Xenopus tropicalis: one gene and its partners. The protein of the gene in region 3 purifies or fractionates together with the protein of the main gene of each other region. This does not show direct contact. Links are inferred from orthologs where the notes say so. Each region holds a gene or a part of one and is shown on either strand. Other genes may lie near its edges. The genes, in order: cul4b, cul5 and cops7b.

Region 1 (4,333 bases), on a different chromosome or scaffold from region 3:
TGTCTCAATGGCATTGACAGGTGTACTTAATACATTTTTTTCCCATTACCCCAGAATAAAAAAACAACCACTCTATAAAAAGCCAGAAAAAAAAACGCAAGTATCCCTTGGTGCTGCAGAGGTTTGCCACTGCAAATACATAGACATACATAATACTCCTTTGTAAACAGTAAACAGTGTATTGTTGCTCTTTGTATCACCGTTTACCAATAAATGTGGCAATGCTCCTTTATACTGTATGAGCAGACAAGTTCTTTTGCCGAGAATTCCTTCATTTCTACTTCAAGCCTGTATATGAAACAGTACTACAATTTAGGTGTGCATTGTGTCTGTTTGATATAGGATTAGTTGTACTATTAGTATATCAGAAAAAATCACAAGCACTTAATACCAGTTGTACAAAAAAATGAAGAGGCTGGTAAGGTCTTTTGCCAAAACAGAGTAATTTTTTTTTTTTACATACAATTACTACTTTTTAAAGGCAAACTAACAGCACAATTTCCTGAGTTTCTACCTTATTTTAGCTGCATCAGCTAAACCTTTATATATAAATTTATTATGGGCATACCCAGGGCTGTATATTGGTCATGTGCCATCCTAGGCACCAGCCTAGTTTACCCCCCCCCCACTTAGCAACTGGTGCACATGCATTGCAGTTTGCATAATGCTCATGCACCAATAACTGATAGAAATTTCTTAGAAATTATTAAATTCCCCCACTTTGCACTAAGGCCTCTGGCACACGGGGAGATTAGTCGCCCGCGACAAATCTCCCTGTTCGCGGGCGACTAATCTCCCCGAAAATGTAAATCGCCAGTGGGATGGCATATGCGGCAGGGCAATTTCAGTGAAATCGCGGAAATTGCCTTGAGGAAACATCCGTGATTTCACTGAAATCGCGCCATCCCGATTTACATTTTCGCCGGTGGGATGGCATTTCGGGGAAATTAGTCGCCCGCGAACAGGGAGATTTGTCGCGGGCAACTAATCTCCCCATGTGCCAGAGCCCTAAAGAGATCAGGGCCAGAAGCCACATTGATACCACTAAACAATCTGTTTGCAAATGTCAACAAACACACTTCTGTGTGGGCCCAAAATGAACCAGCCTGACCTGATTCTGATTAGCCATGTTAGTAAATGGTGAATAGCCTCACAAATCTGTGTAAAGTGTTGCAGTTATCACCTTAACAGTTATTTAGCAGATTGTCTAAGGGCTCTGGCACATGGGGAAATTAGTCGCCCACAACAAAACTCCCTGTTCGCGGTCGACTAATCTCCCCAGATTGCCATCCCACCTGCGAAAATGTAAATCGCTGGCGGCGTGATTTCAGTGAAATTGCGCAAGTTGCCTCGAGAGGAAACCTGCGCGATTTCATTGAAATCGCGCCACCCCGTATGCCCGAGACACAGGTGGGATGGCATTTCAGGGAGATTAGTCGCGGGCGACTAATCTCCCCGTGTGCCAGAGCCCTAAGGGCAAGGATGCTTTCTGTTGATCTGAAACCATCCTACAAAAGCTCCCGTGTAGTTTAGTCCTGAATGTTGCTTCACTAACACCAGCATGATTTGTGTGTTGTGTGTAGACAAATGCCTAAAATAAACAGTGTTCACTTTCAAATTATTCTGGAAGTGGACATTGAAGAAAGATTTTCAGTGTTTTGGCACTGGTCCCATGAGATACTAAAAAAAAAAAAAAAAATGGCTTTGGCCAATGAGTCCCACAGGAATATTGACACTGCAGCTTAGATCGGTTGTGACAAAGATTTTTTTTTTAATAGAAAAGATTGCCTTTGCATTGAAGATATCCCTTAACTGTAGCGCTCTTAGTATTGACACACAGATCTGGTTGGGTCAAACAGGAATGCTTGTAACAAGCATCAAATCCCCTAAGTGCTCCAAAATATTGCGGATCCCTATAGAAAGAATCAAGCATTACCAGCTTAAAACACTTTGGCTTTATGCTGGTTAGGAGTGCATCAATACACAAGCCCTTAGAAGTCAAAACTGCCATTCCAGATAGATTCAACCATAATAAAATAACGCCAAAAGGAAACTGTAATTTTACCATCATGAAAAAACCAAACAGGCAAACGTTTGCCCCAAACTACTGGGTGACACAAGACAGCATGCTAGTTTCTGAATTCCAAATTAAAGGAGATTTTATTTTGACCAGAGCACCCTTGTAATCACCTGGTCCTTAAGCACATTCTGGTCAAAGTATTACACTCCCTGAAGTGACCTATCAAAGAGCTGATTGAATGGTGCCATCCCTCTTTACCTTTAAAGTTCTTGATGACTAACTTCTTGGCTGAGCCAGGCTTGCTGTTGGCAAAACTGGACACGGGTGAGGCTTTTGTGAGGCCATTGGCATGATGCCCAACGCCCACTGGGGAGATGAGCAGGTTTTTACTCCTCACTGCCTGGGGAGTAGAGGAGGATGAGCAGGAAGAAGAAGGAGACTCCTCGGCCATCTTCACATCGAGTCCTAGAAAGTCCAAAGTGTCTTCAAAACGCAGCTTCTTTTGGATGTGGTTAGAGGAGGAAGAGGAGTTTCTGGGGGGCGACAGGGGGTCCAAATCGTCCTTATCGCTGCTGCTGATATTCAACCTTCTCTTTTTGGAGGTGCTGTTTCCCTCAGTCCTTACCTCCTGCGCCGGGGGGTTGGGGGTTGATAAGCCTGTGGGAAACATGAAAACACCACAAATAGAAAAGATTCAAGGCAGCCCAGACTGTGTGTGACCGCTGGATCGTGTGGGGACCGCAACAAACAGCTAACGTGGCCCTTTGGTTAGCGCTTCCCAGTGGCCCCCTCGGCAGGCACTCTGCTTTAGTTCTGCTCGGTGAAGGCCCCGGCCCCGCTCTCCGGATATCCCCACTCTTTTTCTTGTTTATTGTCACAAGAGCAGGGAACCAAAGATGGCCTCACTTCCTCTCGCAGTGCATGTTGGGAAGAGTTCCCCAGGAGGCTGCCGTGAGCCCACACCCCTTCCCAGCCGGGACAGTCAGGGAGCCTTTGACGCCAGCTGCTGCCAAACTATCAAAACCAAAGGGGTAGCGCTTACTGCATTAACTATAGCGCGAAAGGCTGGCTGTGTTCCCTCTCTCCCCTCCCCTTTTTATTCTACTGTGATGTCATGGCAACCTTCGTACCTTGTTTTGACTGACCGGAAGGACTAGCGATGAGGTCTTTCATAATGCCCGACCGTGCGGGCCTCATCCGTCCCCTTTCTCCTCGCCGAGCTTCCGCCTTAGGTTGGTGCCGGCGAGGAGTCCCGACAAGGGGAAGGAAGGGGCTGAGGCTGGAAACTACTCGAGGGGGAGGAGTCGAGGGTTGAATATTCCCGCCTCTGTAGTGACGCCTAAAGGGAATAAGGACCAATAATCAGCTTGGTTTGGGTGACATTTCCCCCTGATGCCTCCACATGGTACCGCCTGTTCAGCAGCGTGGGGGCCGGAGAGGCTTAGAATAGTTACATAAAGGAGAGCGCCAGTAGTTGCGTGTGACGCTTCCCGCTTAAAATGAGTTCCTTGTGGAAGCTCCTCAGTAACTACTCAGTACTACTACTCAGTAAGCGTCAAACATGAAGTTTGTGTCTGAAAGCAATGTATAATGGCGTGTATAGCAGGGATGAAAAGTACATATATTAACCCCACTATTCATTTAAGTGCCAGATTAAAATAAACTTATATCATACAAAGTGGTCAATTTGGGTGATATAATAATCTCTGGGAGAGTAAGGCTTCCCATTGGATTACGCAGCTGTATACCAGATTCTGACTGAAAGCAATGGCTGAATGTGTTTTTTTTTTATAAAGCAGCTATTCTGGGTTCTCTATGTGCTTGTGAGCCTGCATACAAGTTATAACACCAGCAAAAACAACACATGTTAAGCACACCAAAAGGTGTATGCTCATACTTAGTTTCAGCACTTGACCCTATTCAATTGTTTTTTTTTTTTAACAGATATGCAAGCACTGGTCACTGCATAAAGCACTTATGAATCATCTGGTAAAGCTTAATAGAGATGTTACATATAACTAAATAACTAATTTGGGTTGACAAAAGCCCAAAGCCTATCAAGTTCAACATCTCTAAAAACCCCAGTGCACAAAAATACACATACCTATATAGACCAATCTATACACTTACAAATATAAACTATATATACCCAAATAATGTTGAAGCTAGGTGTTTGTAGAACTCACGGGCGTTGCTGCCATGAGGCGAGTTGAGAAACTCACATTAGGCTGTATTGCCTGGCAAGTTACTGGAGGCGGCAAAAAGCCCCTTCAGGTAACTTAAAGAGCCTTGTGTATACTTTAATGCTCATTG
Region 2 (4,232 bases), on a different chromosome or scaffold from region 3:
TAACATGTAAGAGCCCAGTGGTGCCCATACACCTCAGCCTGGCAGTATAGTTACACAAGTAACATGTAAGAGCCCAGTGCTGCCCATACAAGTAACATGTAAGAGCCCAGTGGTGCCCATACAAGTAACATGTAAGAGCCCAGTGCTGCCCATACAAGTAACATTTAAGAGCCCAGTGCTGCCCATACAAGTAACATGTAAGAGCCCAGTGCTGCCCATACAAGTAACATGTAAGAGCCCAGTGGTGCCCATACAAGTAACATGTAAGAGCCCAGTGCTGCCCATACACCTCAGCCTGGCAGTATAGTTACACAAGTAACATGTAAGAGCCCAGTGCTGCCCATACACCTCAGCCTGGCAGTATAGTTACACAAGTAACATGTAAGAGCCCAGTGCTGCCCATACACCTCAGCCTGGCAGTATAGTTACACAAGTAACATGTAAGAGCCCAGTGGTGCCCATACACCTCAGCCTGGCAGTATAGTTACACAAGTAACATGTAAGAGCCCAGTGCTGCCCATACAAGTAACATGTAAGAGCCCAGTGGTGCCCATACACCTCAGCCTGGCAGTATAGTTACACAAGTAACATGTAAGAGCCCAGTGGTGCCCATACAAGTAACATGTAAGAGCCCAGTGGTGCCCATACAAGTAACATGTAAGAGCCCAGTGGTGCCCATACAAGTAACATGTAAGAGCCCAGTGCTGCCCATACAAGTAACATGTAAGAGCCCAGTGCTGCCCATACAAGTAACATGTAAGAGCCCAGTGGTGCCCATACAAGTAACATGTAAGAGCCCAGTGCTGCCCATACACCTCAGCCTGGCAGTACAGTTACACAAGTAACATGTAAGAGCCCAGTGGTGCCCATACACCTCAGCCTGGCAGTATAGTTACACAAGTAACATGTAAGAGCCCAGTGCTGCCCATACACCTCAGCCTGGCAGTATAGTTACACAAGTAACATGTAAGAGCCCAGTGCTGCCCATACAAGTAACATGTAAGAGCCCAGTGCTGCCCATACAAGTAACATGTAAGAGCCCAGTGGTGCCCATACACCTCAGCCTGGCAGTATAGTTACACAAGTAACATGTAAGAGCCCAGTGCTGCCCATACACCTCAGCCTGGCAGTATAGTTACACAAGTAACATGTAAGAGCCCAGTGCTGCCCATACAAGTAACATGTAAGAGCCCAGTGCTGCCCATACAAGTAACATGTAAGAGCCCAGTGCTGCCCATACAAGTAACATGTAAGAGCCCAGTGCTGCCCATACAAGTAACATGTAAGAGCCCAGTGCTGCCCATACACCTCAGCCTGGCAGTATAGTTACACAAGTAACATGTAAGAGCCCAGTGGTGCCCCACGTGACCCGGCGGCGGCGGAGCCGCTAATCTCGCGTTGGGCCTGAGATCTCGCGGGATCCGGCGGGAAGACAAGTTGAGGGAACATGGCGACGTCTAATTTGTTAAAGGTAAGAGGAGCCACCTCTCTGTACTGTCCGCTGCTCGTATGCCGTGGGAGGTCGGGACACACAGCCCAGCCCCACCCCGGTTCCGGCAGCCTTGGTTAGTAAGCCGGTCAGTGCGTGTCAGCCCCCCTGGCCGCTGCATTTGCCCATTACCGATCTTCCCATCCCCCGCATATCTGCACACCGGTAGCTGTGTGGGGATAGAAAGCTGCACACCCAATGGGTTATTGGGGGAGCGCAAAGCTGCCGCTTTCCTGCTGTGGCTGCTGCTTCCTACAGGGGGCGTTGCGTTGAGTATGTGAGCTTTGAGTTCCAGTCTAATGCAGTTATATAGGGGGGAGAGGGGGGTTTTCTTAGGTAGAGAGAAGTTTAAGGAGTTCAGGTAATTGATTTCAGAGATCACTGTGGGTGTGAGTTGTAGTTCACCAACAGCTAAATGTGGATATCTCTGATCTAAAATAGCTACCACTTGATTGACAGCTAAACACACCCCCAGGGGCCCCAGAGGTGGAGGGGCCCAAGCCTAATGTCTTCTGTTTTATGCCAACCTGGCCCCTGTGCAAATCCTGCGCTACCTCCTCTAAACTGGAGAGAGTTGGGTACAGGTAATAAGCAGGACTACTGGCCTCTGGGTGTTTCCTAACTGACAACACCAGCACTTGGATCAGAACGCACCAGCACTTGGATCAGAACGCACCAGCACTTGGATCAGAACGCACCAGCACTTGGATCAGAACGCACCAGCACTTGGATCAGAACGCACCAGCACTTGGATCAGAACGCACCAGCACTTGGATCAGAACGCAACCAGCACTTGGATCAGAACGCACCAGCACTTGGATCAGAACGCACCAGCACTTGGATCAGAACGCACCAGCACTTGGATCAGAACGCACCAGCACTTGGATCAGAACGCACCAGCACTTGGATCAGAACGCACCAGCACTTGGATCAGAACGCACCAGCACTTGGATCAGAACGCACCAGCACTTGGATCAGAACGCACCAGCACTTGGATCAGAACGCACCAGCACTTGGATCAGAACGCACCAGCACTTGGATCAGAACGCACCAGCACTTGGATCAGAACGCACCAGCACTTGGATCAGAACGCACCAGCACTTGGATCAGAACGCACCAGCACTTGGATCAGAACACACCAGCACTTGGATCAGGACCCCAAGCCAACCTGGATCTGAACAGCAGCCACCAACATCCCACTGACAGAATAATGCTGTTTGGGTGCTGGAAGCTGAACTTCAGCATCGTCTGGAGAGTGGGCTTGCCCTTTAATACTAGCCACGTATGGAATCCACATCCTGGTTTATTAGCAATTAATTTAGATGCTATATGATTTATGTGAAGCCATGCAGCATGCATCTAAAGCAGGAGTAGGGAACCTATGGCTCGAGCGCCAGATGCGGCTCTTTTGATGGATGCATCTGGCTCAGTGCCAAATCTTTAATAAAAAAAATAATGGGGGGCGTGGCCTGCACTCGGCGGATAGAAGGCGTGTTCTAAGCCATGTCCGGCATCCTTGGGACCCACCCTACCTTGCCCCGCAGCATCCGTGGCCAAACATATTGCATGGCTCTCACGGAATTACATTTTAAAATATGTGGTGTTTATGGCTCTCTCAGCCAAAAAGGTTCCCAACCCCTGGTCTAAAGTAATTGCTAAATAGCCATGCAGGATGTGGATTCAATTAGTGATACAGGAATTTATTATTATTATTAACATTTATTTATAAAGCGCCAACATATCCCGCAGCGCTGTACAATAAGTGGGTTACATACATTGGACATACAGAGTAACATATAAAGCATTCAATAACCGATACAAAAGGTGAAGAGAGCCCTGCCCAAAAGAGCTTACAATCTACAAGGAGAAAGGGTTGAAACACAAGGAATCAGTTCTTTGCAAACAATTTGCGGGGAAAATTCTCAAAATGCATTAAAGTCAACGGGCGGTTTTCCACAGATACAGCGCAACCTTTTTTTGTTTGTTTTATTGGTCTTTGGAGTCCGAGGTGGCTGTTTTTTTCATGGTGAAACCTGGCAAAAAGATTTTGCTCATCACTAGATTCAATATGAGCCCAGTACAGGTATGGGACCTGTTATTCAGAATGCTTGGGACCCGGGGTTTTCCAGATAAGGCATCTTTCCCTTAAGTCTGCTAAAAATCGATTAAATAAACCCAATAGGACTGGACCAATAAATTCTACCTGCTGATTGGTTGCTCCTGGGCAAACTTAGTGCATTACATAATCCCTAATAAGCCTAAAGGTTAGCCAAGCGAGCGGCTCTTCTCCCGATATCCCCCACCTACAGGTGGGCGAAATCGGGAGAATCCAGGCTAATTCGATCGTTTGGCCTTGGGGCCCTGATCCGACTAGATTTTATAACCTGCCCGATCGAGATCTGGCCGATTTCAGGCCAGATATCGGTCGGGCAGGCCCGTCGGTAGTGCCCATACACAGGCCGGGCCTAAATGGATGAGCTAATTTGTTCCACTATATTCTGCCCGTTGTATCAATTATTATTCATATCTGCATTTTGGCATAGTCACATTCCATTTCTCCTGCTGAATAGGGAGTACAAGGGAATGATGTGTGTCATTCCCTCCACACTGTGCGATAACAAGATGCTTTACTGGAAAACACGCGGCAAGTAACTTTCTAAAAGGACGGTTGCGACGACTAATCAAAGCATTGGGCAAATACTTTTAAGGCAAAATTATAAATAGCGTGCAAAGACAAAGTAAA
Region 3 (3,652 bases):
GAGCTGTTTACTGCGCATGCCTGATTAATTTCCATTGGAGCAGGTGGCAGCAAGAATATGCTACTCTTTTATAACAATAATAATATTTGCAAACATCTCTAAGCCTATTTGTAATCTTGCTAGTAAATGTAACAAGATCAACATGAGCATGGGAAGATGAAAATAAAAACTGATAAACCCTAGTCTATCACACTAATAACTAATTTTATAAATGAAATCCACTTCAAGCAGCAATGAATAGAGCATTAAATGAAATGCACCTCCACATGAAAAAAAACCCTCTTTGTATTAATAAACCCTAGTCTATCACACTAATAACTAATTTTATAAATGAAATCCACTTTAAGCAGCAATGAATAGAGCATTAAATGAAATGCACCTCCACATGAAAAAATGATTATATAAATATATCAATTGGCTACTCAGGTAGTGGGCCAAATCAGGCTGACCTGATCATTTGACACCCAAAAAAATTTAATATATTTGGACCTCCATCCTCTTGTGTCTGACTTATTGCAACTGTGTCTTGTATTTATTTGAATTTATTGTTATACTTTGTATTTATCTATTATCTTAAAAAAAACCCTCTTTGTATTAATGTGTTCTACTGTACAGCGCTGCATACATAAGTAGCGCTTTATAAATAAAGATTATACATACATATATACAAAAAAAACTATTGTGAACTAGTGGTGTGCAGGCAGGACCGAAATTTGTGGTATCCACAGGACGGACAGGTTTAGGCTGATAATTTCACCCTCTTGTTGAAAACACCACCTTGAATAAAGGGAAAAAGAGGTATTCTATTACACGCTTATATAAAATCAGGAACAAGTGCTTACCACTCTTGAAGTGTTTTGACAATGCTACTGATGTCCTTTTTGGGAATGTCCCGTCCGATGCAGAAATCAACCTCTAGCACATGGTTGCGCTGATCCAGTTTGCCCTGAATAATGTCTGTATAAATAGCTTCTATGATAAGATCCTCCAGCTCCCTGAGGTTCCTCATTTCCAGATCTTTCAAGAGAACTGAGTAAGGAATGCACTGAGACATAAAGAATACATTTTTGAAGCTACCACTGCCAAAGACTCAGGTCATATAATACATTTATATATATATATATATATATATATATATATATATACAGACAGAGTACCGCACACAAAGGGACTTTATATAGAAAACAAAAATATTTATTGAAAAAAATCCGACGTTTCGAGCACCAAACTGTGCTCTTCCTCAGGGACAAACCAAAAGAAAAAATACATACACACCCCTTAAATACCCTACTGTGCAAAATGGCGCCAAAAAGTGCAGGTCATCACCATAGTAACCAATGTAAGCGGTGGGGAAGCTTCCCAGTAAGCTATTTATTGTTTTACTTCTCGGTCAGCTCTAAATGGCAACGTGCACTTGCTTCTGGTGGGGACTCTCCCATTTCACTGATCTATAACATTGTATCTTATCTACATTGATACTCTCACTCTGCACATCGGCTACACATATTCTTTTTGTTTCATTTCCTTTTTGTCTGTGATTTCCTTTAGTAACCAGCTGTATATGCAATTATGTTCATGTATTGTATTTGTGATTTTTACTTTGTGTATTTATCTGTTTACATTGGTTACTATGGTGATGACCTGCACTTTTTGGCGCCATTTTGCACAGTAGGGTATTTAAGGGGTGTGTATGTATTTTTTCTTTTGGTTTGTCCCTGAGGAAGAGCACAGTTTGGTGCTCGAAACGTCGGATTTTTTTCAATAAATATTTTTGTTTTCTATATAAAGTCCCTTTGTGTGCGGTACTCTGTCTGTCTACCAAAATTGTTTGACCAGCACCAAGGGCATTTGCTTTATTTATAGGGTGTGCTCCTCTTTTGTTTTTGTATGTATATATATATATATATATATATAAAATATAAATATATATATATATATATATATATATATATATATATATATATAATATATATATATATATATATATATATATATATAATACATATATATATATATATATATATATATATATATATACACACACACACACACACAATTAGTCAGTCTTAATTTACAGAAAAACTTAATGGTGCCATTGCACTGCATAGTAAAATCTTTTAATTCCAAAAAAATTTCCCACTATCTCTTTAAATAGAAAACATCATGCTTTATTTGCATAATAAATAATTTAGCAAAAATAAAGAAGTGCAGACTAAGTGAAACATTAAGAATATTAATGAACATACCCATGCAATTTTACATTAAATTGAGTAAAAATAATTGCATATTTAGAAAGCTTTATCATACAAAAGAAAGCAGAGTTCTTCTTTCTGTGCTGCTTTTTGTAATATGTCATAATGTGGTAAATTCTTTTCTGCATTTTCATTTCCTTGTATTACTGACATTTTATTATAGATATAAACCCTTTAAACATGTCAACTGGTGATTTGTAATTTTATTTACATGGTATAAGCATATGCAAAAAAAAAGCAACAGTTCAAACAAGCAAGTTCTTTAAATCTTCTTCTATAACTTAAATTGGACAATCAGCATCACGGAGCTGGAACACGCAAACACGGCACATTTAGAAATGCTTAGAATATTGTACGCCTCTAGGGCAAGCAACATAGCACCATGACCACCACGGGAGCCTGCTGCACAATCCCTACTTAAAAACAGAGCTAATTAGTTCTCTCTAGAGAGCTCTGTGCTTCCCTGCACTCTCTCCCTTACCTCCCCAGCTTAGTTACTGGACCAGATTTACTAGTTTGGTGAAAGTCATAAAGTGGAAAAGAACTTAGCTGACAGAAAAAAAATGGAAAAAGTTATAAATGCCATAAGCTGAATCCTTGCTAACAGAACAAAGGAAAATAGCAGTGTCCATATAAACATCATGTAATGTCACGTCCTCTCCAGTCAAAATTTAAAGTTTCATAAATTTCTTTTTCCATTGCACTTCATTTTGTAAGAGATTGACAAAGCTCCAGCAGCTTGGTGTTAAGAAACTGGTGATCTTTTTACATGAACAGTTTGTTAAGCTATTTTAAGTTTACAGCTGTTTTTTTATGAGTATTCTTTATTTTTTTCTTCTCTATCAAATGAAAGAACTGGTATCCCTCTCATAAGCACATAGGCCCAAGACTCTATAAAAAAAAACTGTCCGCAATTTTCTATGTAATTATACCACATGTTCCTCAAATTATATTAAGTTATGTTGTCACACTGAGAAATCTAAAGAGTACCTTTAAAAGCTGTGGACATTAAATTTTGTTGGAAGGTACATGTAGCCTGTGAAGCTCAAGAGCTTAAGGGCCAAATGATCAGACCAATTCATGAATTGTTCTCAAGGGCATACAATCAGGGAAACAAAAAGAGTAATGTAATAACAGGCATGTTTGCTGCAGGTCTAGAAACTCAAACAATCAAATGTCCAAGTCCAAAAGTACACTAGTAAAAGCTACCTGATAATTGGCTCCTATCAGCTACTACAACTAAAACACACTGAATGGAAGATGGGGTTTGCTGTAGTAGCAATGAAACACTCTGTATGCAGCCTAGGTGTCCCAACTATGCTACAGTGAGCATATTCTGTACTGGATTATCTTGTCTGCTATAACTGCAGTGCCTGATTGAAAAGGTGTCCTGAAATTTT

What was found.
Region 1: the proteins of cops7b (region 3) and cul4b purify together in Homo sapiens (affinity purification with mass spectrometry; 6 studies listed by BioGRID and IntAct, counting the BioPlex papers as one, with this or other methods). This does not show direct contact. The link is inferred for Xenopus tropicalis from reciprocal best matches to the Homo sapiens genes COPS7B and CUL4B.
Region 2: the proteins of cops7b (region 3) and cul5 purify together in Homo sapiens (affinity purification with mass spectrometry; 3 studies listed by BioGRID and IntAct, with this or other methods). This does not show direct contact. The link is inferred for Xenopus tropicalis from reciprocal best matches to the Homo sapiens genes COPS7B and CUL5.

The regions. Positions count from the first base shown.
Region 1 is NC_030684.2:46,091,594-46,095,926, forward strand, and holds the start of cul4b (cullin-4B), read right to left. Parts: upstream 2,883-4,333; 5' UTR 2,691-2,882; coding exon 2,279-2,690; intron 1-2,278.
Region 2 is NC_030678.2:159,969,506-159,973,737, reverse strand, and holds the start of cul5 (cullin-5), read left to right. Parts: upstream 1-1,423; 5' UTR 1,424-1,447; coding exon 1,448-1,471; intron 1,472-4,232. UniProt on the Homo sapiens protein: Core component of multiple cullin-5-RING E3 ubiquitin-protein ligase complexes (ECS complexes, also named CRL5 complexes), which mediate the ubiquitination and subsequent proteasomal degradation of target proteins.
Region 3 is NC_030681.2:101,198,510-101,202,161, reverse strand, and holds part of cops7b (COP9 signalosome complex subunit 7b), read right to left. Parts: intron 1,046-3,652; coding exon 843-1,045; intron 1-842. UniProt on the Homo sapiens protein: Component of the COP9 signalosome complex (CSN), a complex involved in various cellular and developmental processes.